Linked DNA regions of Lepisosteus oculatus. The protein of the gene in region 2 interacts with the protein of the main gene of each other region in a pairwise test. Links are inferred from orthologs where the notes say so. Each region holds a gene or a part of one and is shown on either strand. Other genes may lie near its edges. The genes, in order: rpia, stk16 and kctd14.

Evidence for each region.
Region 1: the proteins of stk16 (region 2) and rpia interact in binary tests that used the Homo sapiens proteins (3 or more experiments, as listed by UniProt). The two-hybrid records come from large-scale screens. The link is inferred for Lepisosteus oculatus from reciprocal best matches to the Homo sapiens genes STK16 and RPIA.
Region 3: the proteins of stk16 (region 2) and kctd14 interact in binary tests that used the Homo sapiens proteins (3 or more experiments, as listed by UniProt). The link is inferred for Lepisosteus oculatus from reciprocal best matches to the Homo sapiens genes STK16 and KCTD14.

The regions. Positions count from the first base shown.
Region 1 is NC_090696.1:29,001,076-29,008,683, forward strand, and holds the start of rpia (ribose-5-phosphate isomerase), read right to left. Parts: upstream 3,102-7,608; 5' UTR 3,046-3,101; coding exon 2,857-3,045; intron 787-2,856; coding exon 726-786; intron 499-725; coding exon 443-498; intron 220-442; coding exon 160-219; intron 1-159. UniProt on the Homo sapiens protein: Catalyzes the reversible conversion of ribose-5-phosphate to ribulose 5-phosphate and participates in the first step of the non-oxidative branch of the pentose phosphate pathway.
Region 2 is NC_090707.1:32,206,094-32,214,180, forward strand, and holds the start of stk16 (serine/threonine-protein kinase 16), read right to left. Parts: upstream 3,066-8,087; 5' UTR 2,957-3,065; intron 587-2,956; 5' UTR 563-586; coding exon 477-562; intron 1-476. Other genes in the region: uncharacterized protein c2cd6, read left to right, coding at 6,460-6,549. UniProt on the Homo sapiens protein: Membrane-associated protein kinase that phosphorylates on serine and threonine residues. In vitro substrates include DRG1, ENO1 and EIF4EBP1. Also autophosphorylates. May be involved in secretory vesicle trafficking or intracellular signaling.
Region 3 is NC_090700.1:9,860,641-9,868,663, reverse strand, and holds kctd14 (BTB/POZ domain-containing protein KCTD14), read right to left. Parts: upstream 3,025-8,023; 5' UTR 2,854-3,024; coding exon 2,797-2,853; intron 1,721-2,796; coding exon 1,049-1,720; 3' UTR 439-1,048; downstream 1-438. Other genes in the region: rps3 (small ribosomal subunit protein uS3), read right to left, coding at 5,124-5,323, 6,462-6,649.

The DNA.
Region 1 (7,608 bases), on a different chromosome or scaffold from region 2:
GGAACTTGTAAGAATACTAAAAGGAGTGACCAAAGTCAATTATTTCACTGATCATATATCAGATCATCCTTGTGATGTGTGTGAACTTTTAAAACGAGTTTTAGGATTCTCTTTGGTTCCTGCTGTGGTGCAGCTGTCCCCCATCACTGTGAAAAGTACCTCAGGGTGCCGGTCAAGGTCAGTCAGGGTCAAACCATTCTGTAGAATCAGCTGACGGGCCTGAAAACAGGAGAGAGAAAAGAGTTGACAGAGCTAGGGGAACCCCATCTCCAGGTGCATCCAGGTCCATCTACACACAAGGCTGCACAGAGCACAAACTTACAACTTGTTAACTTCATAGGCAATTATCTAATGCAGTGGTTCTCCAACTATGGTACTATGGAATTCACACTTTCGCTGAACTCGCTCCCTCTCTTCATGACGGGCAGGCCGACACACTGACCTGGAAGGATGTTGGGACACAGACGATGTTCAGCTTCTCCTGTCGCACTCTTTCCGCTGGAAAACACACAAGCAGAGTATCTGTCAGCATCCTGAGACTGGCCCTTACAGGTTCCCACCAGAACTGAGCAACACCAGCATTTAACTACTGCCCAGCCAGGAAAAGGACAAAGAAGAAGAACCGTCTGCTCCAAGCCACGTGTGTGCAGCTGGAATCTTCCTGCTTCAGACAACAGGGGGAAGGTACCAGGAGGTGAAGGAAAAAAGGAGAGAGGGACACTCACCCAGCCTGTCCACAGCGTAGACGACAGTGGTGCCACTGCCCACACCAACAGCATGGTTGTTCTGAGGGTTAAGAGCAACAAGAGGAAAGGTCACGTGCTTCTTGCTCCTCTTGGTGCCTTTCTGATCTAAAGCATGTCCTGAAGTGTGGACACACCAGCTCACTAACTGCATCAGAGCTCCAGACAAGCAGACGGCAGCTGTTTAAAGAAGAGGTCTCCTCTGGCCTGCACAGGGTCTCACAATCACACCTGTACTTCTATCTCAGTCACACGGCTGGATTTCCTGTCTCAGTCCAGCTGCAGATGAAGAAAGTTCGGAGACAAGATCTTCCAGGGGGCAGCATCTACCTGCACCACTAACTACTGGGCACGACAGAGAGGGGCCGACTCTTCAAGGGGGGGAGGTGACTACGTGCAACTGCTGTCTTTATTCATTTCCTTTCACATTCAGAGCTGTAAAACCTTTTCCCCTTTGCAACAGCCCCTTCTACCTCCACTGTACACTATGCTGCAGCCCCATCTCACCAGGGCTCAGGAGCCCAGCAGGGCTTGGCCTGGTCAGTACTGGGATAGGAGACCTCTGCGGAAAATCAGGTTAAAAAGATGAAGAAAATACAGATTTTAAATGAGGAGAGGCCATTTGGCCCATCGAGCTTGTTTGTTGATTAGGTGCTCACGATCTATGAATGCTGCTGTAAGTGGTGTCGGTGGACCAGTAGGTGGAACCTCTTTGGTGACTGGGAACAATGCACTTCAGTGGTGAATGAATAGGGTCCCCTCCTAGGTAAAGCACTTTGAGATGAAACATGCTATATAAATGCCAAAATTATTATTATTATTATTATTATTATTATTATTATTATTATTATTAACATTTGCATTAAGTGGCTCTTGCATTGCATCTGTCTGTATGTCTAGTAATCAAAAACAGGAAGAACTGTTGTGGGTAAAACTGACCACAAATGTTGCCCCACAACAGTGTGTTTACAGCATCCAATTCACACCCAGTCTGAGACACTCTCTGATAACAGAGCTCCCATGCAGGCCTTTGGAAGAGTGAATCTGTCAACACCTCGCTTTTCCCACTCGGATGACGCATATTATCCGTATTTATTGCAAACGCACAGTTTATGGATTCTCTCTTGTAGCAGTATGTTACTGATCAGTGATAACATTCACAAACATGACATTTGGTCCCCAAAATCGTCTATTAAGTAACTTGACTTGCGCTTGAAAATGCATCCCTGTGACAAAAACAGCAATGCAGTATTGGTAGGACATTGGGCGGCTTGCAGAAATGACCGAGCTCTGCAGTAATCGGCTACAAGGTTTCGACGAAAACCAGGTACCGCGCGCACGAGAGCGTGTATTCTGCTGCTGCTGACCGCAGGGAAGAGTCCCAGCTGCGTCAGGGTCTGCAGCTCAGCTGACACCTGCCCTCGGACCAGGGGCTCCTGCGGGCCAGAACACGTGCTCTTTCAAAACACAAGTACGGGGCTAAAAGACAATATACTGCCTTTTTTTTTTGCAAACTCCCACTGCAACAGAAGGGAAAAAAAACTGTATTTGCTTTCTGCAAACACTGCATAGTTGCGAAACCTGCTGCTGCTGTACACTGATCAACTTTACGGGTCAGGCATCTGGAGGGTAAGCTAATCACCCTGTTAAACTACGGAATCATGTTGTTAACTGCTAAATGAGGGTTAAAGACTGAAACCTAATTTGGAACGGAAGACCAGGTTGTACGTGATCAAGAAGCTTACTCATGAAGTTTAATATATGAACAAAACTAGCATACGAAATTTTATTGACACGAGGGAGACTCCAATAACGAGCTTTCTTCACCATGACGAGGCACAATAGGTTCAATGCAGCAGATATAATTCTGAGCCCTCAAGCTGAGCCGACGTCTTGTGACTCAGGAGGGGGGTTAATTTAATTATACAGTGATCAATCCTGCACAACCACCCCGTGCAACAGCTCTGTGCAAAGAGCGCCGCTGCTAAACCTCGGGTATGTAGCTCTGCTAAGTGCTGTGCACTTCATTAAAACACAGCGCACGTCCCTCCTGCAGCGATCTGTCAATTAGAAGAAATGCACAGGTATTACCGGAGTCATTCATAGTCTTTACCTGCACGTGATTGTCCACGGCAGCATAGCCGGCCAGCTTCTTTGCATTTTCAGCCATGGTTCTCCTCCCGCAGCAGAAGCGCCTACACGAAAACACGTGTCCCTCGGCGAATATCTTCCTGCCAAGACTCCCCGGCCTCCCCAGAAAGCCAGCTGCGAGAGTCTCACAGATTTCCCTTTGTAACCTCATAATCCAGCCCCCTTGCCTCGCCGGCCTCCACTACCTCAGGAAGTCGTGCAAAAAAAAAAATCGGCAGTTGTCTGCAACGCAACCCGAGCCGGTAATAGTAGTTTTTTAAATTTGCTGAACGGTCGAGTTACGAGTGGGTTGGTCCCAATGTGAACTACACTTCCCAAAATGCAGTGCATACCGGTCGCACGGTGTTCATATTTAACTCTTTTGTACAGAGTCAAATGTTGCTTGTATGAGTGTACGCGAACAGTTTGCGTATTTTGAAGTCTGTAAATTGAGATTTACGGGTTTGCTGCATTCAGCTTGAATGGAATTGATTAAGCAAATTAAAAAAAAACCTAGACGTCCTCTATAAAAAAGTAGGTTCCAAAAAATGCCAAGAACTTTACGGAGAGTGTGGCTCACTCTCTCCATTATGAATTTACACTACTCCTATCTGTGTCCCCAGGGGTAATGGAAACTCTAGCAGGAAATCTTTCATTCTATATGCAATTGCTTTCTAAAACATGTAAAACAAATCTTATCTCCTATAACACTGTTCTACTATATTATTTGTTGGAGACGTTTGTTGTTTTTCCAGTACTATTGTGTTGCACCATAGAGACATTGATTCATCATGTAAGGTGGTGTATAGAACTAGGAAAGAGTGGTAACAATTGTTAATCCTTAAACCTACAGTACGTTATCAAGGAAAAAAAAACTAAATGTGAAACTTTCCAGGGGTCACAGAAAATAGCCAACATTCTTCAGACCATTTTATTGTTGCCGGTAATGTTATTGTCAGTAAGATGCACAGCGTTTATTACAGGCATAGCAGGCAAAACAAGAAAAACACTCTTTCCAAAATATCCAGATATTCTTAAAATGCAATAAAATGACTGGAGTGGGTCGGAACAGAACCCATCTCCACAGGATGGGGGTGCATGGAGAGGCAGAGCAATAAAGAGTCAATAAACCTGTTTGTGAAGCCTCCACGTCTCAGAAACTCAGTTTACTAATAATTTATAAAATTATCTAAAGTTCCAGGTTTTTATATTCTAATATATAAGAAAAGAATAAAGACCAAGAAACACCCATGCTGAGTTATAATAGCGTTGTAAACATATCCTGGTCTAATCACAGCCCAGAACAGAGACACGGGGAAGGGAGGTTTGTTCAGTGAGTTCAGCCGGAGGGGTGCTGATGGACTGACTGGTCAGATGGAGTTCTTGCACAGAACACACAGCCAGTGCCAGGCAGTGCAGTGCTGGTGTTCAGGGGTCACAGCCCCTGCTCCTGAGACTCCTGCCTGTGTCCCCCTCCAGCTTAGAAACTCAAGCCCTCAATACATACCTTGCCTGGATAGATGTGCTTGGCATCATCATCATCATCATCATCATCATTGTCATCATCATTATTTTTGTTATTATGTTTGTGTGTGTGTCCATCTGAAATTAGGACAGCATTATTTTTACTATTTTTAGCAGACTGGTTAGCCAGCTTCCACGTATTGTCTCCCAGTGTCTCAGGTCTGGGCAACAGTACAGCTAATGCAAATGTCATCACAGTTTTACTTAAAGTACTTACTATAACAAACTCATGATGCAATTGTTGAGCTACTTATTTGACTGATATAGTATTTATTTAATAATGTGTATATACATGATGTGTATATACATAACATATAGGCACTAAGATTAAATGAAATAATTAGTCATCATACTGTATGTTCATGGTACTTTCTTATCTGTGACAGTACAGCATCTATTCAGTGACCCAGCACACAGGAGCTGGGAGCTCAGCCTGGTCTGCTGTCCTGGTCCAGTCTGATCTCAAAGACCATGGACTCCTGTGCTGTTACACTGACCTGTCTCAACCTGTGTGTCCAAGCCTGTAACCACACAGAAACTGCAAAGACACACAGCCCAGCCTGGTGCTGGCGCCCACTCCTGGCCTGGTACAGGCACAGCAGTGAGACTGTCACTGATTGAAGATGTTTCATTATGTTTTCTTCTGAGGTGTTTATGTATACAATCTGTATTTTCAGAATAAACATGTATATTATAAATATAGGTTATATGATTTAAATGTGTGAGGGACTGTCCATAGCACGCTAGAGGGTCTGGTGGGGCAAGTAAATTAACCAGATCAGCTGACTGGCCTGCTTGCTTAAGAAAAATTGCAAACCATTCAGCCCATTTGGCAGTCTTTCAGCTGGTCTTATGCTGATGAAAAATGCTTTGTTTTGTGGGGCAAAGCCTTACTGCAATTTAAGTAACATCTTAAATTTTCCAAATAAATTCTCGTGAGTTTTCATTACTAATCCGCTGAGCGCACTCCTGTGAGTGTCTGCAGCCAAAGTGGGTTGGAGTTGCACAGACTGTGCCACAGTAGCCTGTGAATGTTCAACTCCAGGGGTGACCGGGTTTAGAAAGCTTCCTGTCTCCAGCTCCCACACGTGATGGACAGCACCTGAGATCTGAGATCTGAGCACCTGAGGTTATGAACTAAATCCCCACCTCCACAGTGAGGAGGAAAACTGTGATGAAGAGCAAACTGCCAGCACTTTACAGAGGAACAAGTAATAGGTTTATTCCATGCTGAAAAAAAGAAGAAAGAGAACACCACGTTTCGGCCGTGGAGCCTTCTTCAGGTGTGAAGGTGTGACACCTGAAGAAGGCTCCACGGCCGAAACGTTGTGTTCTCTTTCTTCTTTTTTTCAGCATGGAATAAACCTATTACTTGTTCCTTTGCAGCCTACGCATGCTGACGCAGCTACCCACCTGAACTACTAGCACTTTACAGAGTTCAGGATAGCCTAATAAGAATACAAGGCACTACTAGAAATCCATATGCAAACCAAAGCCATTGCATGAAGCAGAGAATGAGGGTCCTTCATCTTGTCCCAGTAATGTCCAGCACAGATGATCTGTCATGCAGACACTGTCCCTCCACCCTGGGGTGAGTGCATGGGAAAGCTGATTAGGCTACACCGTCACATCAGTACTCAACATGCAAAGATTATAGCATATTGTGAGGAGGACTATAAAAACCAGCATGGGGGCTAAAACTGTACAGTATATGCTACAGTAGAGTTACCATGCTTTTCTGTTGCACATGCAGTGTGTTAAGTAGTGAATATTTAAAGGAGAACTGCAATCCCTAATTCTCAGATCGGTTATTAAACCTTGGTAACAAAATAACGTCATTGACGTTGTAGAAAAATATCACAAATTTCGAAATAAGCATGAACTTTGTGAAAGTACTACAAGTTGTCATGTTGTTGCCGACTTGCATTTGATTGCCCATGAATTGCAACGTGAAGTGGTCCTTCCTGCTCACCAGTCTCCGTAATGACTAATGTGATGTTATGTATGAGCGACATGTTGTTGTGCAGCAGACATTTCACTGCGGAGTGTTCCAATGTGTTCTGCATGTGGAGTTAACTAGTAGTATTGGTCTACAATGGAGAGCGATATTTCTATTGGATTAGAAGAGATGTATTCACAAGTTTGCTTGTTTACAATGCTCTTCAGAAGTTACTCTATACATTTTACTTTTATTGTGATGAAATTAACTCATCAGTGCTTTACTGAAATACTGTATAAAACAGCCTTGCAGTTCCCCTTTAACCCCATCCCTGTTACTGTAGTCTAAGTGCTGCGAGCACAGTCAGACCATGAGCCTGGAAGACTGCATCCTCCTGGTTTTGGAGGTTTTAAGCAGGAGGAATCACAGCGGTAACTGGCATGTGGCGGCCAAAGGTTTAAAACAATGTTGCCTTCAGACCCTAAAACCAGCAGTGTACAGTACAGCAAAATCACCATTTCTGGACATGTGGGATTCAAAAGGGTCTTGCTTCACAGTAACTGGCTCTTCGTATGTGTTGCACTAAACCGCCTCTGCTCATTGCGCTTAATGCGCACGACCTCTTATGAAAATATGGCAAAGACCTAGCTGATCATGTGACAATTGCAATTTACATTCAGCTGTACATGTGGCATCATGTCTGCTCTCTGACAGTGCTGTCAGTGAGGAAGTGACAAGCTGCCCTGCAGTGCCAGGGATCTGCTTTCAATCTCTCAATTGGACTGGTCTTCTTTCCAAAATTAAAATGCAGTTCATTTATTCGGAGTGATCTGTTCTGAAAAATCATTAAAAAACTGCTGTGTGTAAGCGTCATATAAAATCCTTGTATGGACACCACTCTGTACCCTTCCTATACTGTATATAGTGGTGCAGTATCAATGAGTGCACATCAAATACCCACCAGACTCCTGTGCAGTCTCACTCTACAGCCAGCCCACTTGCATCAGGATCACAAAAGGCACCAAGACCACGGCCCACCCTGGAGCAGTCGGGGCAGCAGCAACAGTATCTGTCAGTGTACAGGTACCGGTTAGGACAGGGGACAGAGACCTCTGATTTTTCACACCACACAAGCAAGGCAAAACACTAAACAGAGTTCAGATCAGGGGAGATTCCTGGCAAATTCAATCTAATGTGATCACATGGACAAACACAACTATTACAGATAGGCAGAAAAAGAAAAAAAGTGAAATATCAAATGGGTGGGACTGA
Region 2 (8,087 bases):
TTGAGTGTATGTAAAATTGCCAACCTGAAATTATTTTTTGTTAATATAGTCATCCTCATAGAAGCATAGAAGCATAGAGATCCAAAAGACCAGGACAGTGATTCACCGAGCCCAGTCGGCTTGGCTCCCTGCATGAGCAGGGAGGTACGAGACTACGAGAGCATAGATGTCGGTCATCGAGTAGCAATAATAATGCGCACACAGCCAAGCTGGACCTCTTGCTGTCTCATGTGGTCAATTAAGCATTTTTCAATTGATGACCGTGTTTGTTTTATCATCGGACTTTAGGGGGAATTTAATTTTTTGTGTGCAGTTTAATTTCCTGGTTGTATAACCTGTGTGCGCGCACGCACGGACATAGCTGAGAGGGAACGGTCTCCAACCGTCACCCACTGCCCTCCATTTTGTTCCTCTTTTCTGTTTGATCCACTATCACGGCCCCAAGGGAAGACCCCAGCCCAGCCGGTGCTCCCTACCCTTCGTCTAGTTTCTGGATGAAGTAATAGCGCTTGTTCTCAATGGTGACAGTTCCTCTGGAGCAGATACACATGGCATGGCCCATGGTCCCTGTAACATCCTTTGATCACTGAGGAAAGAAAGAGCACATGGGTTCTAGATCATTCGTGCAAAAGCAGAAAAACTGGCTTCAAGAGTGTTAATTTACTCGAGCGAGTGCTACATTCACGAACCACACAGGCAGAGCAGCTAGCCAGGACGTCGAAGCTGATCAGCACAGTTCAGATGTTAGCCCTGGGCAACCTCTTGACTTCAGAGGCAGAGGACTCTCTTTTGGAATCTAAACTTATATTTTAAAATGACAGTTTCCTCTTGGGGATGGCACAGGGGCTCAATGGTTAGCATTGCTGCCTCAAATTGCTGGGGCCCTGGGTTGAATTCTGAAACGGCGGTGCTATCTGTGTGGAGTTCGTATGTTCTCCAGTTTCCTCCCACAGAGATATACTGGAGGGTTAATTAATTAATACTGGAGCTAAAACAGGCCCTAGCGTGAGTGTGTGCACGTCTTCTTCTGCGTCTGTTTGCCTGCCTTGCACTGGACTGGCATCCAGCCCGGGGCGTGTCCTGCCTTGCACCAGTTGCATGCTAGGACAGGATAAACGAAAGGCAGACCATCTCTTTTAAAGGCATTTAAATCAAGACAAGAAAAGATTTATGCTTTCTAAACTAGAGACAACTAACAAAAAAGGTAACACCTAAAATTGTTTAAAATATGGGATGCTATCCCTATTTATCCTCTTCTCAGAAGAGGGGTTCATTTTGAAGAGATGTGGCGTTTTTCCTCAAAATGCCTATTCCAGGAAGCTTTCACCACTACCGTCTCAGAACACATTCCTCCTGGTTTTCCCTCCAGCCGAGCTTAATGACTTAACGGAACTAACGAGGCACTCGATTGCCAATCTGTCAAAGTTCTTTTTGTTGTTCTACTTTTTTATTTTATGGCAATGAAATGCAGTAGTTAAAGGGCAACCACCTACACACTAAAGAGCTAAAAACAAATCAAATGGTTTGAATCAATCGTGTTATTAGGTCAATTAAAGAATCCATTTGGAAACCCAAGAGCTTGGTTTACTGTCAGGAGGCTACCCTGGATCACTGCTTCACAGCTGCTCCGACTGCTGGTGCAGGCTGTAGAGTCCAGGGGTGGTCAATCTCACACACCTGCCGATCTTCATTCCAGTTGAGCTTAATGACCTCCTAGAAGCCTTTATTGAATGAATAAACTGCTGGATTGTAACAATCGCACAAGTATTCCCCCCTCCCCAGACTCAAGAGTTTGTTTGGGATTTGATCTTAATGAGGAAAATGCAGTACTTTAAATGTCTATCTTCAATAGGTCTTAAAGCAGAAAACAGTCACACAGTTCAAATCCACCCTGTTATCAAGTCAATTACACATTAAATGGTGTAACTTTCATCTTGGCTGAAGCAAAAACACACAGTTGTGTGAATCTCCCTGACCAGGACTAGCCGATAAAGACTACACTCCCTAAACACTAATACTACATCCTGTTTATGCATTGGAATAACATGCAGTTACTGTACATATGATGCCAGTCCAAACTGTGAACCAGTACTCTTCTATTGACGAGCTGACCTAACAACCAATAGCCAGGCTTTCTGAACACATGCATAAAGAGATATCTAACTGAATAAACAAAGTATAAAATGAGTGGTGCAAGACTCGTGTTTGTGATGAATACACATTATCCACGATCCATAGAATACTGGATCACAGTGACATTTTCTAGTATATTTGAAAGTTTGTAAATTATTTCTTCAAATCATTTCAGTAATAGTACTGAATGAATATACATGTAATACGATGACTAAAAATAACCAAATTTGTTATTTGAGCGCGTCAAGAGCTGTGCTGACTGATGCACACGATTGTCTCCTGCTGGTTTTTACTACAAATGAGTAACGTAGTACCAAAATAACAATACTATAAAAATTAACTTTTCCTTAAAACACGGTTTCTATGTCACAAGAAACTTCAATATGTAGCGTTTCTATTAAGGTGGCGCTTAAAAGAAACTACCCTTTTATGCATTAACTGTAACTGAACCCATCGGTTGCGCTCCATCGTGAATAATTCATAGCCCTTATTTAAAAACAAATGACATATTACTTATGTGAACGTGCGTGTTACGACACGGGTGTAAATTCCGCACATTCATTTGAAATAAAAAAAACTTACACAGTGCGCATATAAAACATCCCACTTTGGGCTGAACGCAAAGACCTATATGGTTTAATGCTAACGTGGCACGTACATCGCAGTTTTAAATCATAGCGACAGCATCTAACATTGTAGTAGCAGCAGCAGGGTCTACCGGGAAGAGGAATTGTTACTTAAATCTATAACCAGTCGGATATAATCTCGTGCAGTGAATGATTTAGACCGCCACCGAAAGAAAACACATTGGATCTAACGTTACCGTGGGACAGAATGTTATATCTCCGTCCTTTTAAACGTTTCTCTCCCGTCTCTCTCGCTTTATCTTCACCTCCAGATGATTTCCGGGTAGAGAAATTCCTCCTGCGGCCAGCGCGTCATCGACTGGAGAGACCCCGCCTCTGTTTTAAACACACAGTAACTCTCATTCACACATTTCACACATTTCATGTTAATAGTAATAATAATAATAATTGCTTACACTTATATAACGCTTTTCTGGACACTCCATTCAAAGCGCTTTACAGGTAATGGGGACTCCCCTCCGCCACCACCAGTGTGTAGCCCCCACCTGGATGATGCGACGGCAGCCATAGTGCTCCCGAACGCTCACCACACACCAGTTCTCAGTGGGGAGGAGAGAAGAGTAATGAAGCCAGTTCATAGATGGGGATTATTAGGAGGTCATGATTGGTAAGGGCCAATGGGAAATTTGGCCAAGGTAACACCCCTACTCTTTTCGAGAAACGCCCTGGGATTTTTAACGACCACAGAGAGTCAGGACCTCAGTTTTACATCTCATCCGAAGGACGGCACCTGTTTACAGTGTAGCGTCCCCATCACCATACTGGGGCATTAGGACCCACATGGACCGCAGGGTGAGCACCCCCTGCTGGCCCCACTAACACCTCTTCTAGCAGCAACCTTAATTTTACCCAGGAGGTCTCCCATCCAGGTACTGACCAGGCTCACACCTGCTGAGCTTTAGTGGGTTGCCAGTTGTGAGTTTCTAAAGGTTATGGCTGTTGTCGAGATGTTGGGGAGGGCAAGCGTAGTACTGTATTGTTTAAAACCCAGTTAGCGTTTGCCATTATTGATAGAATGCACGTGTAGGTTCAGACAGTATATATTTGTGGACATCCTATGTCAACACGTTTCCAAATAAACATCTGGCTATGCAAAAACGGTTTATATTGTTTTGAAAATGTATCCATTTTCAATAGTAGTTACGGAGTATTCAATTACAATACAATATATTAAGTATTCAATAATTACAACATATTTAATAGCCAAAATTCATTTGGAACCATAGCACAGTTTGCGAATGGTCCCATTCATGAACAATTGTCATTGTATGAAACGGAGATTAAATTATTGCATACTACAGCAAAGCTATTTCAAAACTAAGAAGACTGTAGCGCGGGCAAAATGGGGTTAAGGAATTAATCCTGTGCTGCTTAATCAATTGATTTTTCTATGTTTTAAATGTGTTATGTTTGGAGAGTTTTATGAGTGAGGGTACAATGAGCCAAACCTGTCAAAAGTGGGTGGGTGTCCTGCTATATTCTGTATGTGGTGCTACATTAAGTCACTATACTTTTCCGCAGTTTGTTCTGTTTCTTCAGTGGCATTTAACTACTCCTTGATGGACAACTGTCTTACTTCTTTCTAAAACTTTACAAAATACAGTGGATAAGATAAGGGTGAAATGTGCTGTAAGTACTGGTCCCTGACTAAATAACATAGTGGCTGGAGAACCACAATATTTGTTTTTGAAATTGATTATATTAGTATTTACAGAATTACATTTCATTTACAGTATATAAGTTATTAACTGAAGTTCAGGAGGGCAAACAATGACAAATCAATCTCACACAGCTGGAATTAATCACCATCATTACAGAAATTGGCTGAATATACTGAACTCCAATACCTCCCTTTCTGCCAGCAGCCATATCCTCCGGCAACTCACAACTGGCAGCCCACTGAAGCTCAGCAGGTGTGAGCCTGGTTAGTACCTGGATTGAAGACCAGCTAAGGTTGCTGCTGGAAGAGGTGTTAGGGGGACCAATAAGGGAGCTCACCCTGCCGTCTGTGTGGGTCCTAATGCCCCAGTATTAGGCACACTATGCTGTAAAAAGCCACCATCCTTTGGATGAGACGTAAAACCGGGGTCATTAAAAATCCCAGGATGTTTCTCGAAAACCCCGGCATCCTGGCCAAATTTCTCACTGGCCTTTACCAATCATGGCCTCCTAATAATCCCCATCTCTGAATTGGCTTCATCACTCTGCTCTCCTCCCCACTGATAGCTGGTGTATGGTGAGTGTACTGGCGCACTATGGCTGCTGTTGCATCATCCAGGTGGGGGCTGCACATTGGTGGTGGTGGAGGGGAGTCCCCATTACCTGTAAAGCGCTCTAAATGGACTATCTGTAACAAGCACCCCCTACCCCACCCCATTTCCACTTTGCAGCTGCCCCTTGGTTCAGTCAGTCTGAATGGAGCCCGAGTCTCCTCGTCCTGTGGGAAGGAGACCAAGAGGGTTAATGGAAACTTTTTCACCATGTATTCCAAGCATTAACAAAGCAAAAAAAAATACAAAAGGTAGAACCCCCCCCCCAAAAAAAAAGACTTAAACATCAATTAATTCATAGCTAGTTTATATACAGTACTTAGGAAATTTCTACAATGTATAATCATACAGTACTATACAGAAATAAACATTTTTTTATTATAAACATTTCAATATAAACTGAAATGTATCAAATCCTACATTTTTGAAAATCCAGTATACTTGCCATTTTGAATGTCAGTATTTCCATACTAAGATTATCTAATGTTATCTTAGTCCAATACGGAAAACAGAGCAATATTAACAACGTATTTTTGATACGACTAAATTGATAAAACAGTTTTAATTTAAAAAGGTATCAGTATAAAATGGGAAAAGTCACCAATTAAAAAATTTTGGAGCATAAATGAAATGGAAATTGTCAAATTAATTCTAAAATTTTAGTTGTTTCATTTAAAAAAACTAAAAACTTAGGACAAGTAACGAACACTTGAATAAGAATAATAAACATGTGAGTAAGATTCATTCTATCAGTATTTGTTAACAAAAAATGGAAATTGTTAAGTCTGGAAGTCTGAAATGAAACTCCTTTCTTCTCCAAGTTGAACTTTTTAATGTTAGCAGTAATTATGAAATATAAATACACACAGGCAAGTACAAGAAATAAATGAAGACTCAAAACTTACAAACGAATAATAAGAGGACAACTAAAAGTTAAAACAATAAAGTCTCACAAAGAAATAATATTGCACGAAGCAAAAAGAAAATTAAAAGTAACTACTAAAGTGAGGGGTTTCTTTTACTACAATTAATGGTACTATTATACTTCATTGTGGTTAATGTTTTCGGGAAGTTTTTATTGTCCTGTGTGGTGGGAAACTAAACTGGTGAATGTGAATGAACAGATCATGTACTGTAACTCACTTGTTTATTTTTAAACCAGCTGTTCAGTTAGCAACAGAAGCCGTGAGCTGCTGGCTTTCAATAAATGCTGCATTGCCTGTGTTTCTAATATACAGTTGTTTATATTATATTACGTTGATGTCCTCCACTAGCCTTTTAAGAAGTCCTGTTCTGAAGTAGCGGATTTGATTTTTGCTGTTCTCTGAGGGCTTTCCCACACATCTCAGTTTCTTACAAGCAGAAGTGAGTTAGCGCAGCATCAGAGACAGAGGGCCGACAGCCTGCCCATGGATGTGACTGGAGAGGAATCACAGCAGCCAGGGTCCACAGGGACTTTGGGCTCTTCAAAGACCACAGCCACAAGTGGCCTTCTCAAGGTAAAGAAACTCTTCAACTGGGATTTATTCATACAAATCTAGACTCTTTTGAGGTACCCTTGTGATTTGGAATCAGCAATTGTGTGTGTTTTACTTCTCAGCTTGTTGTGACCAACCCTGTGATTTTCGGAAAAAGAAAAAGAAGGAAAAGTGTCACGTCTCACACTCTCCTTCGCAAACGGCGCTGCGTTCCCAAACCCACTGTTTCACAATCTCATTCCAAGCCAAGCAGCCATATCACCCTGCAACTCACAACAGGCAACCCACTGAAGCTCAGCAGGTGTGAGCCTGGTCAGTACCTGGATGGGAGACCTCCTGGGAAAAACTAAGGTTGCTGCTGGAAGAGGTGCTAGTGGGGCCACCAGGGGGCGCTCACCCTGCGGTCCATGTGGGTCCTGATGCCCCAGTATAGTGACGGGGACACTACACTGTAAAACAGGCACCGTCCTTCAGATGAGATGTAAAACTGAGGTCCTGACTCTCTGTGGTCGTTAAAAATCGCAGGGTGTTTCTCGAAAAGAGTAGGGGTGTAACCCCGGCTTTCTTGCCAAATTTCCCCCTAGCACTTACCAATCAAGGCCTCCTAATAATCCCCCTCTATGAACTGGCTTCATTACTCTGTTCTCCTCCCCACTGATAGCTGGTGTGTGGTGAGCGTTCTGGCGCACTATGGCTGCCGTCGCATCATCCAGGTGGGGGCTGCACATTGGTGGTGGTGGAGGGGAGTCCCCTTTACCTGTAAAGCGCTTTGAGTGGAGTGTCCAGAAAAGTGCTATATAAGTGTAAGCAATTATTATTATTCCTAATTGAACCCATCACATTCCCACACGCACCAGATTCCACAAATTCTCACTTCTGAACCAATTATCCAACCATATCCCTTTCCTTTCAGGATCCTCCAATTCTACCAATTGGTTTCCTGACAAAAAGAGTAAAATCTTTTCACTTCCTGTTTTAAAATACACATAGGATTTTCTTTTGGCATGTTGGCAGGCCTGGTAACAGTGTTGGAATCAGAGTTAGAAGTCCAAACCTATGGCCAGCTGTTTTACGTAGTAGGAAAACAAAGGTATGATAACATTAAAAAGGCTGAGAGGATGTTTGCTAGTAGTTAATTAATAGAAGCCAGGGTATCGGCTTGAACAACAAGCTGGGTAGGTTGTTCCAGACTCCCACAACAATTTGTGTACAGAAGTGCCTTCTATTCTCATATTAAAGTTATTATTTTCCATCTGTTTTCTCTAGTTTCTTGTTTCACTGTTCATCGGGTTAACTTTGTCAGTACATTTGGAGATTCTGAATACATGAATCAAGTCTCTTCTTATTAATAGTAATAAATATGTTGCTATAGAATGCTAGGAAAATTCAATCAGTGCTGTAAATTGTTTTGAGAAGAGTAGCTGTAATTATTTTTATATGCCAAAAATGTATACTGATGTCTTTGTTGTATTTCAGTAACTTTTGCAGGTGCAGCAGTACAAACTGAATAAAATTAAAGATAATTAATACAAGAAAAATAAATATTTTATTGTACTTTG
Region 3 (8,023 bases), on a different chromosome or scaffold from region 2:
GTTGCAGGGTGATATGGCTGCTGACGTAGTCTCTCTCAGTCTGGCAATGGCTTGAAGTGATGAAGTTGGTTCAGTGGCAGGTTGGGCTATGGTGGTCACATTAGTCTTTTTTTCTGCCAAGCGGCCAGAGATGTATAGTACAAGAGAGCAATTCCCTTAAGTCATGTCATCTTGAGCGGTGAGTGGTTGTGACATCTATCAGAGGCACGGATATAGACTCTTCACCAATGGGGGGTGTCAAAATTGACCCAATTTATGACATCCTGGTTTGTATTAAAATGCAAATGCATTCTGTACAGGCGCTAAGCTACCCGGGTCATTTTCTGTTCAAGGCAACAGATCGATTTTCGTACTCTTTCTGAACACATTTATTGTACTCCATTAAAAAAAAAAAAATGACCATTACAACTTACCAGATAAAGACAAGTGGCAACTGACTAAGAGTTTCTGTTGATTTTATTCAAAGGACAAAGAAAAGAATCTTGTAAAAAAATATCTAGTCTTTATGTTTATATACACTCATTTCACAATTAATAATTTGTCACTGATTAAACATAGAACATTAACATAATATAGCTCTACAACAATCATATAGATAACAATCACAGTCAATAGAAAAAAAGTCATTTGTTCCCTTCTATAGAAACTACTTCTTTAAAACAACTCCCTGCAAAAAGAAGAGGTTGTCCAGAACTCGGAGTAGGAGATAAGTCAAAGAAGAGGGAAAAGTAAGCTGTCAATCATCCAAATGTTGAAATCCATGGACTAAGCAAATTGATTTTTTGGTAACATCACATGATGAACCAATAAAGAAATGCAAAAATATGAGTTGACAAATTTCTCCTTGTTACTCAGTCTTGTTTTTGCTTTTTCCTTTTCTGCTAAAATGCTGATCTGGACGTCCAGGGGCAAGTTAAATTTCAGCCACTATCCAGGCTTAACCTGAACAGAAAATGTCGAAGGCCAGACCAACAAGGTGATCTGCAAAAGCAACTCAGGTGCCAAGAATTCATCAAGAGGCTAATATTGAGTGTACCGTTAGCTGGCACTACCACCAAGTGAATATGAATTTGTAGAAGAAGTCGTAGCTTTTGAAACGGAATCCCTTGTCCGCAACGTGCTGCTGGTAACTGATCTTGTAGCCTTTGGCCTCGATGTCCATTTTGACACAGTCCAGCAGGTCCATGGCGGTAGGCGATGCTTTCCAAGGGCCGAACCTCACCACCGATTCTTTATCGGCATCCAGGCTGTTGATGGCGTCGTTGTACCGCGCAGAGTCCTCCTCCGTCCTCAAGACGCTCACGATGACGCTGGAGTGGCGAGCGGCCATGGCCTCCGCCCGCGCTATCCTGATGATCACCTCCAGGTTCTCCCGGTAGTTGGGCACCCTGGCCAGGAACTGCTGCCTGCCCACCACCTCCCCAAATATCTGCGGCGAGTCCTCCAGCTGCTTGGCTAAGGGCTCGATGTCGTAGAAGAGGGCTTCCTTGTAGACTTCCGGCACGTTCTCGGTGGGCAGCCGCTGGGTGCGGAGGAACTCCAGGACGTGTCTGAAGTGCGTCCCATCGCGGTCAATGAAGTAGCGTCCCTCGGCGTCCGTCCTGAGCTTGGGCTGCCCGTTAAACATCTCGGCCAGCTTCGAGCTGGGGAACCTCCGCAGGGTGCCCAGCGATGTGCTGTACAGCCGGCCACCAACGTTGAGCTGCACAACGGGTGAATGCTGGGAATCCAGAAGAAAGAGGAAAACAAAATAAGGACAGGTGCCCCTTCTACACACCGGGGCTGGTAAAAGCATGTATTTTTTTTTTTATCCAATTCGAGACCAACTTGGACAATCTGAAACAAAAATCTATTCTGTGTAGTACCAAAGTATTAAATTGATTTACATTCAAGTCTCTCTCATACACTTATACATGCATTCGTTTACTGACAAAATTCCAGGGAAAGAATAATATGTAAAACTAAGGTGGGTATATTTAGTTACCTGTATGTAATTCAACCCGAGTTAATTATTGGATAGGAGCTCGAGCTCTTAGTCATCTCAACATTCTTATTTGTTCTGTTCTTCTTTAGGTTGTCTCGGTAAACCATAGGTTATGCAACATATTCCCCTTTCACTTGGGAGCTGCTGAAACACGGCCAGTTTTATTAGGGTACAAATCGGGTCAATATAAAAAAAACGCACTTGTACTGTAAGAGTATGCAAATATCAAAAGTACTAATACATATAATGCAAAGCGCCTTCCAACACAATTTCTCCACGTACTAAATCAGTAAAGCAATTTATGCTATTAATCACCTCAGAGGGCCCAATTTAAAAAACAAATGCGAGGGGAGTCCCACAAACTGAGACTGCGAGACGAGCAGCATACATTGCAAAGTCGCACTAGTTACTACGACATACATACCCTGTAATTTGATGAATGACGCAAAAAAGAGAAAAGTCACAGTGCGACGTCTCTTACCATCGATACACTTTCATTTCTTTACGCGAGCGCTGTTCACACATATAAAACCTTATTTTTCTAACTTGTAAAAACTGGTTAGTGAAACCGGGAAAAAAAACCGTATGTTAAGTATGTTTTCATGTTAAGTTTTGAAAGTTATTGTAGTACGAGACGTCTCCGTACAACAAGGGGAAAAGACGGTTGTTTCTTAGTACCTACAAATTTCCTTACTGTGTTCCTAAACTGAGCATTAACATTTCCGAGACAACAAACGGTAAACTAGCATTGTTCTATCAATTCTTCCAAAAATAACCTGGTCTAAATACGAACCATTCTGTTCAAAACTTACCAACTGCAAATTGGTGGTACATTGCTTTCCTGGAGATTTATATTCGGATTGATTCATTTTTTGTGTCGAACTGCGACTACATGAACCTGTCTTCTACTTGATTCCGGAGTTCCTTTAGGACAAGGGGATTATAGCTTCACCGAGGAGGGTGTGGTCTACAAACTTTTGCCGAAACCACTCCTCGAAAATTAACCACGTTGTCGAACATTTAAAGAACCAGCGCTTTACTGTTAAAATATCAATATACAGAATCAGGGTAAAGTTAATAAACCTTTACCAACTTGAAAACAAACAAAGAAAAAAACAGTTCCTATTTCTTCGCTGAAAGTAACGCAGTTAGAGGCTCTAAATCTTAAAACCACGTACTCAGTAGTTACTTCTGAACGTCAATTATTAAAATACCAGGCCAGCTAACATATGGTTTCAAAGTACGCATTTATCTAAAAAACATTTAGGTACGCGTGTCATGAAATATTTTTGTATGATCAAATATATTAAATATATTTGGTGTAAGTAATTTTGATTCTAGTTTATCTGGATTAAAAGCGACATACTTCGCTGTTCTTGCCCTTTTAAAATATTCATAATGAATTAAGGGTGATGTACCGAGTGAAGGATAATTGTGAACTGAAGTTAAAAAAAAGCATCATTTTCACTAAGTCGTCCGGGACTAACTCGTCACGAAATATTTTTACAAAGCCGTAATTTAGTTGTAACAAACTATTTGCAAAAGGGCGTATTGTGCAGATACAGATCAACTAACACTATAACCTCTCATAAGATATTTACACTGGGTTTGAGCAAATCAATGAGCTGATAGTTTTCACTTCGTATCATGGGGTATTTATGCCAACGCCTAGATACTGAAAGCTGAATCACTTGCCCGTGTTTGTCAAGAAAACCCCGGGAACAGTGGTTTCACTTTTTAATGACCTGGATAACAGGCCAGTAAGTGCATTCTTCCTTCCCTTATTCAAGACGATACACGTAGTCAGTGGACACACATGCCATATATTGTATCCCCAGTCAGAAGTGTTTCCATACAGCCTACATAAATGGCTTTTCACTAATACATTTAAAAATCACTAGTGTTATTTCCGTGCGTATTTGGTTTAACTATTTCAACATCCATACAAGACCACTATATTGTTCTATGCATAAGAGCTTGCTTTGTCACATCTCCAACCTCAGTATCTTTCTTTTGGCACCAAATACTGTCGGGCTCAGCACCCCCCCAAGTAATTTTGTGAGGAACATATCGATTTTTCAGAAGGATTTAGCATTTATCGTTCAACTTCAAATGAGCCCTGTAATGTACAGGACCTGCATCTCATTTAAGAAACAGAGACCCAAACAATGCCAGTTCTGCACAGAGGTATCCCAGCAGAGCTCAGTGTGTGAAGGAGATGTGAAGGTTCAGAGCAAAACTGGTCAGCAGGGGTTTGCTGCAGGCCTCACTGAAAGAATGCCCCTCCAGTTCTTTTTCCGACACCCAGAATCTCCTCTCAAAATACTTGTTCCAGCTGAATGAAGTGGTAAATTAACAGCAAGTATGTAGCACGAGTACAAAAAGTTATGACCAATTTACTTTACATCTGTTACATTTGCATCATGTAGCTTTTATATTTAGCCACCTTAAAAAATGTTATAAATGTCACCCCATTCCTTAACAAAAAACACCACCACTTCTGTGCCACCGAATGACTAAAGCACAGTTTTCTTATACTACCCCACAACAAAAGACAGAACCTGGGACATGTCTTTTACTGTTTTATTGAAATTTTTACAGAAATTGTCCACAAACTTCCATCTCCAGATGTCAGTGGATACCTGCAAAGGAATAAAAAAAACTATGAGTGACAAATCGATATTACAGAGTGTTATAATATTGGATAAGGCAGCAACTCGAAACAAGCCAAACACCCTAAAGATGCTGGTGCACTTAAGGCAATAGGTAATAATGAATTGTCAAGACCCTTCTCAGACAAATGCCTCTATGTCATCAAACAATAAGGACACTCTGCTCAGGGCCCTGCACTCGGGGACACAGAACGTGGCCCCCAGCCAGGACACAAGAGACAGGATGGGTCCTATTCGGACTCGTCATCGTATCATCACTGAAGGGAGTTCACTAAAAAGTCGCCAGCAAGGGGCGTATACACATGGACCCCTAGGACACCAAGTTCAGAGGCAGGTGAAGGTGCAATATTTAAGGGGCAAAGGCCATTCAGCACATAACTTCAACACTTCCAAGAGTTTGCAGAAAAGATGCGTTGCAGGAGTGCAGGAGGTAAAACTTGAGGCCCAGATCATGACCCTTCTTACCTTTATGCTGTGGCAACAGGACCCGCCTGAGGCATAACGGGGGCCTCGGGCTTGGCACCCTTCTGCTCAGAAATGGGGGTGGTAGGCAGGACCTCATCCTTGGGCTCCACGATGCTGACGTGGTCGGGAAGGGGCTTCTTGGGGCCGATCTTGCCGGTGGGATCCCAAGGCAACATGATCTTGACCTTGATACCCAGCACACCTGGAGACAGAGAGTACAGGTAACAGGTCACTCAGAGGAGAATGAACATGGTGGGGGATATACAATGCAGAGCATGTTAGCAGGAAACAACAGGAAACAGGTCTTTCTGGTAACCCAAAACGCACACAGCATAATTCCCAATAAAAAACTATCATATTTGATGTAATTAAACATACCTTTCAGTAAGATTTAATAGATTTATGTTTTTTCTCTAAAGCTACATTTCAAAATTACTACGTACAAAGCATGTTTCAATATTTTTTAACATACTGTCCATGAATGAGATACACTAGGTAAAAGCATCATTTCCACATGCACATCAAACCTGAGGTTTTTACAGCAGTGTAAAGTGCATATTTCATTATTCATTTTTCTTAGTAGTTTTCCAGGTTTTAATATTACTAAGTTATCTAAGGGGGGAAAATAAATCAAAGTTCGTTCCATTTCCCACAGGTAGGGACCCCTTTTAACCATCTCTGGACTGCAGCACCACCTGGGCAAAGCACGGCAACAGCAGCCCACATCACAGATTGGGAGAAATGAGGAATTGCTTCACTAATTGAATTAAAGGGGGGTGTCAGTGTATATTCCAGATCAGAATTTAGCAAGGACAGTCGGGTTAATGCTCTAGTTTTTAAAATGATCGCATGTGATACTTAATGACCAAGCAGTCAAGAACTTGGTTTTAATCATACCAAACATGCACAGTGTCCCTGGGACACTGGTTTGGATGATGCTCTCAAGAGAAGTGTGGTACCTGCTGGTGCATGCAAAAGCCAAAAATACAAATTGCCATTTACAAATAAAACAAAATCTTGTGACAAACTTAAGCCCTTCTCAGACAAATGCCTCTATGTCATCAAACAGTAAGGACACTCTGCCTAGGCGCCTGAACTCAAGGACACAGAACGTGGCCAGGAGTCAGAACACCAGAGACAGGCTGTGTCCTGTTCAGACTCGTCATCGTATCATCACTGAAGGGACTAGCCCCAGCCCAGGGTGGCGTCTAACAGAATATCACAGACATGCATAAAGCCAGGGAAGAAATCATAAGTATAGCAAACTAATGACTAGAGAATAGACTTGACCGTACTACGGGTCAACTACATTAGATGGCAAGATCTACTGCTGTACATACCCTGTCTAAGCAGGACGTGGCGGACAGCTGTGTCAACGTAGTAGTTGACAGGGTCACCACTGTGGATCATCAGCCCATCGACAAACTTCATGGACTTGGCTCTCTGGCCTCTGAGCTTCCCAGACACCACCACCTCACAGCCCTTTGCACCACTCTCCATGATGAACCGCAGCACACCGTAGCAGGCTCTGGAACACAAGGAGGCTTAGGACTTCAAATGCACTCTCACTGCTTTCTTTCAAGATTGCAGCAGTTAGAAGTTAGAAAGTTAGCAACCTGCCTAAAGAGCACTTAAAAAAAATCAAATGAAAAGGATTACCAATATGATTCAATGACCTGAGTAAGTGCCCATATGAAGTTCCCAACATCCTTACAATGAGATAATGCATTGCATTTTAATGCACTGCTTACATTTTTAGTAGAAATTCCTGGTCTGTGCCCATCACATGTGCCAAAAACAGACATAGCAGAACCTCGTTGTAAACAGGCACCTGAAACCGTTTCTTTTCAGCACAGAATATACTTTTACTTGCTCCTTTGCAGCCTACCCATGCTGAAGCCGCTTCCTGCTTAAACTCATTGTAAACAGCTATACACAGCATTCAAGTGCACAAGTGAAAAGCCTTCAAATCCAAGTTAAACTTATATCTAACCTACAGTAGTCTAAGAAAAAAAAGCCTTTGCGGCTTTACACCAGCGTGAGACAAAGGATTTGCTACATGAGGCAGCAGTTTACAAGCCCAGCAGCTCTTCGTGCAGTCAGCTGGCTGTAAGTCTTAGGAAATAAACCCAGTCAACACAACTGAGCTTGTTTTCTATTAAAAAATGGAATATGTTACAAGTTTTTTTTTACACAATGTAGCAAGCATAAAGCAAAACCTCATCTAATTTACTCCCATGGATTTATGTAAGAAAAGGCGTGGATTCTTATTCTAAAGGATCCAATCGCATAATTGAGCCTGTAATTAAACAATTTCACCTTATGATTTTAAGGCTATGTTCATGTGTATGTATTGATTCTAATTAGAAGATCCTTCTCAGACAAATGCCTCTATGTCATCAAACAATGAGGACACTCTGCTCAGGGCCCTGAACAGAGGGACACAGAACGTGGCCCCCAGCCAGGACACCAGAGACAGGATGGGTCCTGTTCAGACTCGTCATCGTATCATCACTGAAGGAACAGCAAAGTACTAAACCAGTGGTTCCCAAGCCTGGTCCTGAAGGAAGATGTTGTCTGCTGGTTTTGATTTCGGCTGAACTATAAATCTCCGGGGCTGATGACTTAATTGATCTACTAGCTTATTTAAACTGTCTCCAGGTTCTTCAGGCAGTCTCAATTAGTAAACCCCACTTGGTTCAAAGTTACTGTTGACTACTGCTTGCTATTATTTCTGACTGAACAACTCTTACTGGTTGAAAGTTGTTCTAATCAGGTAACAGTTTAAGAGACGCACATGAAATCTAGCCAAAGGTCGTCAACAATCATAAACCCTTTTCCCCCCATATGAAGATATGTCCCATGTAGAAAAACAATTAGCCTGCAAGTTAAGAATTCCACC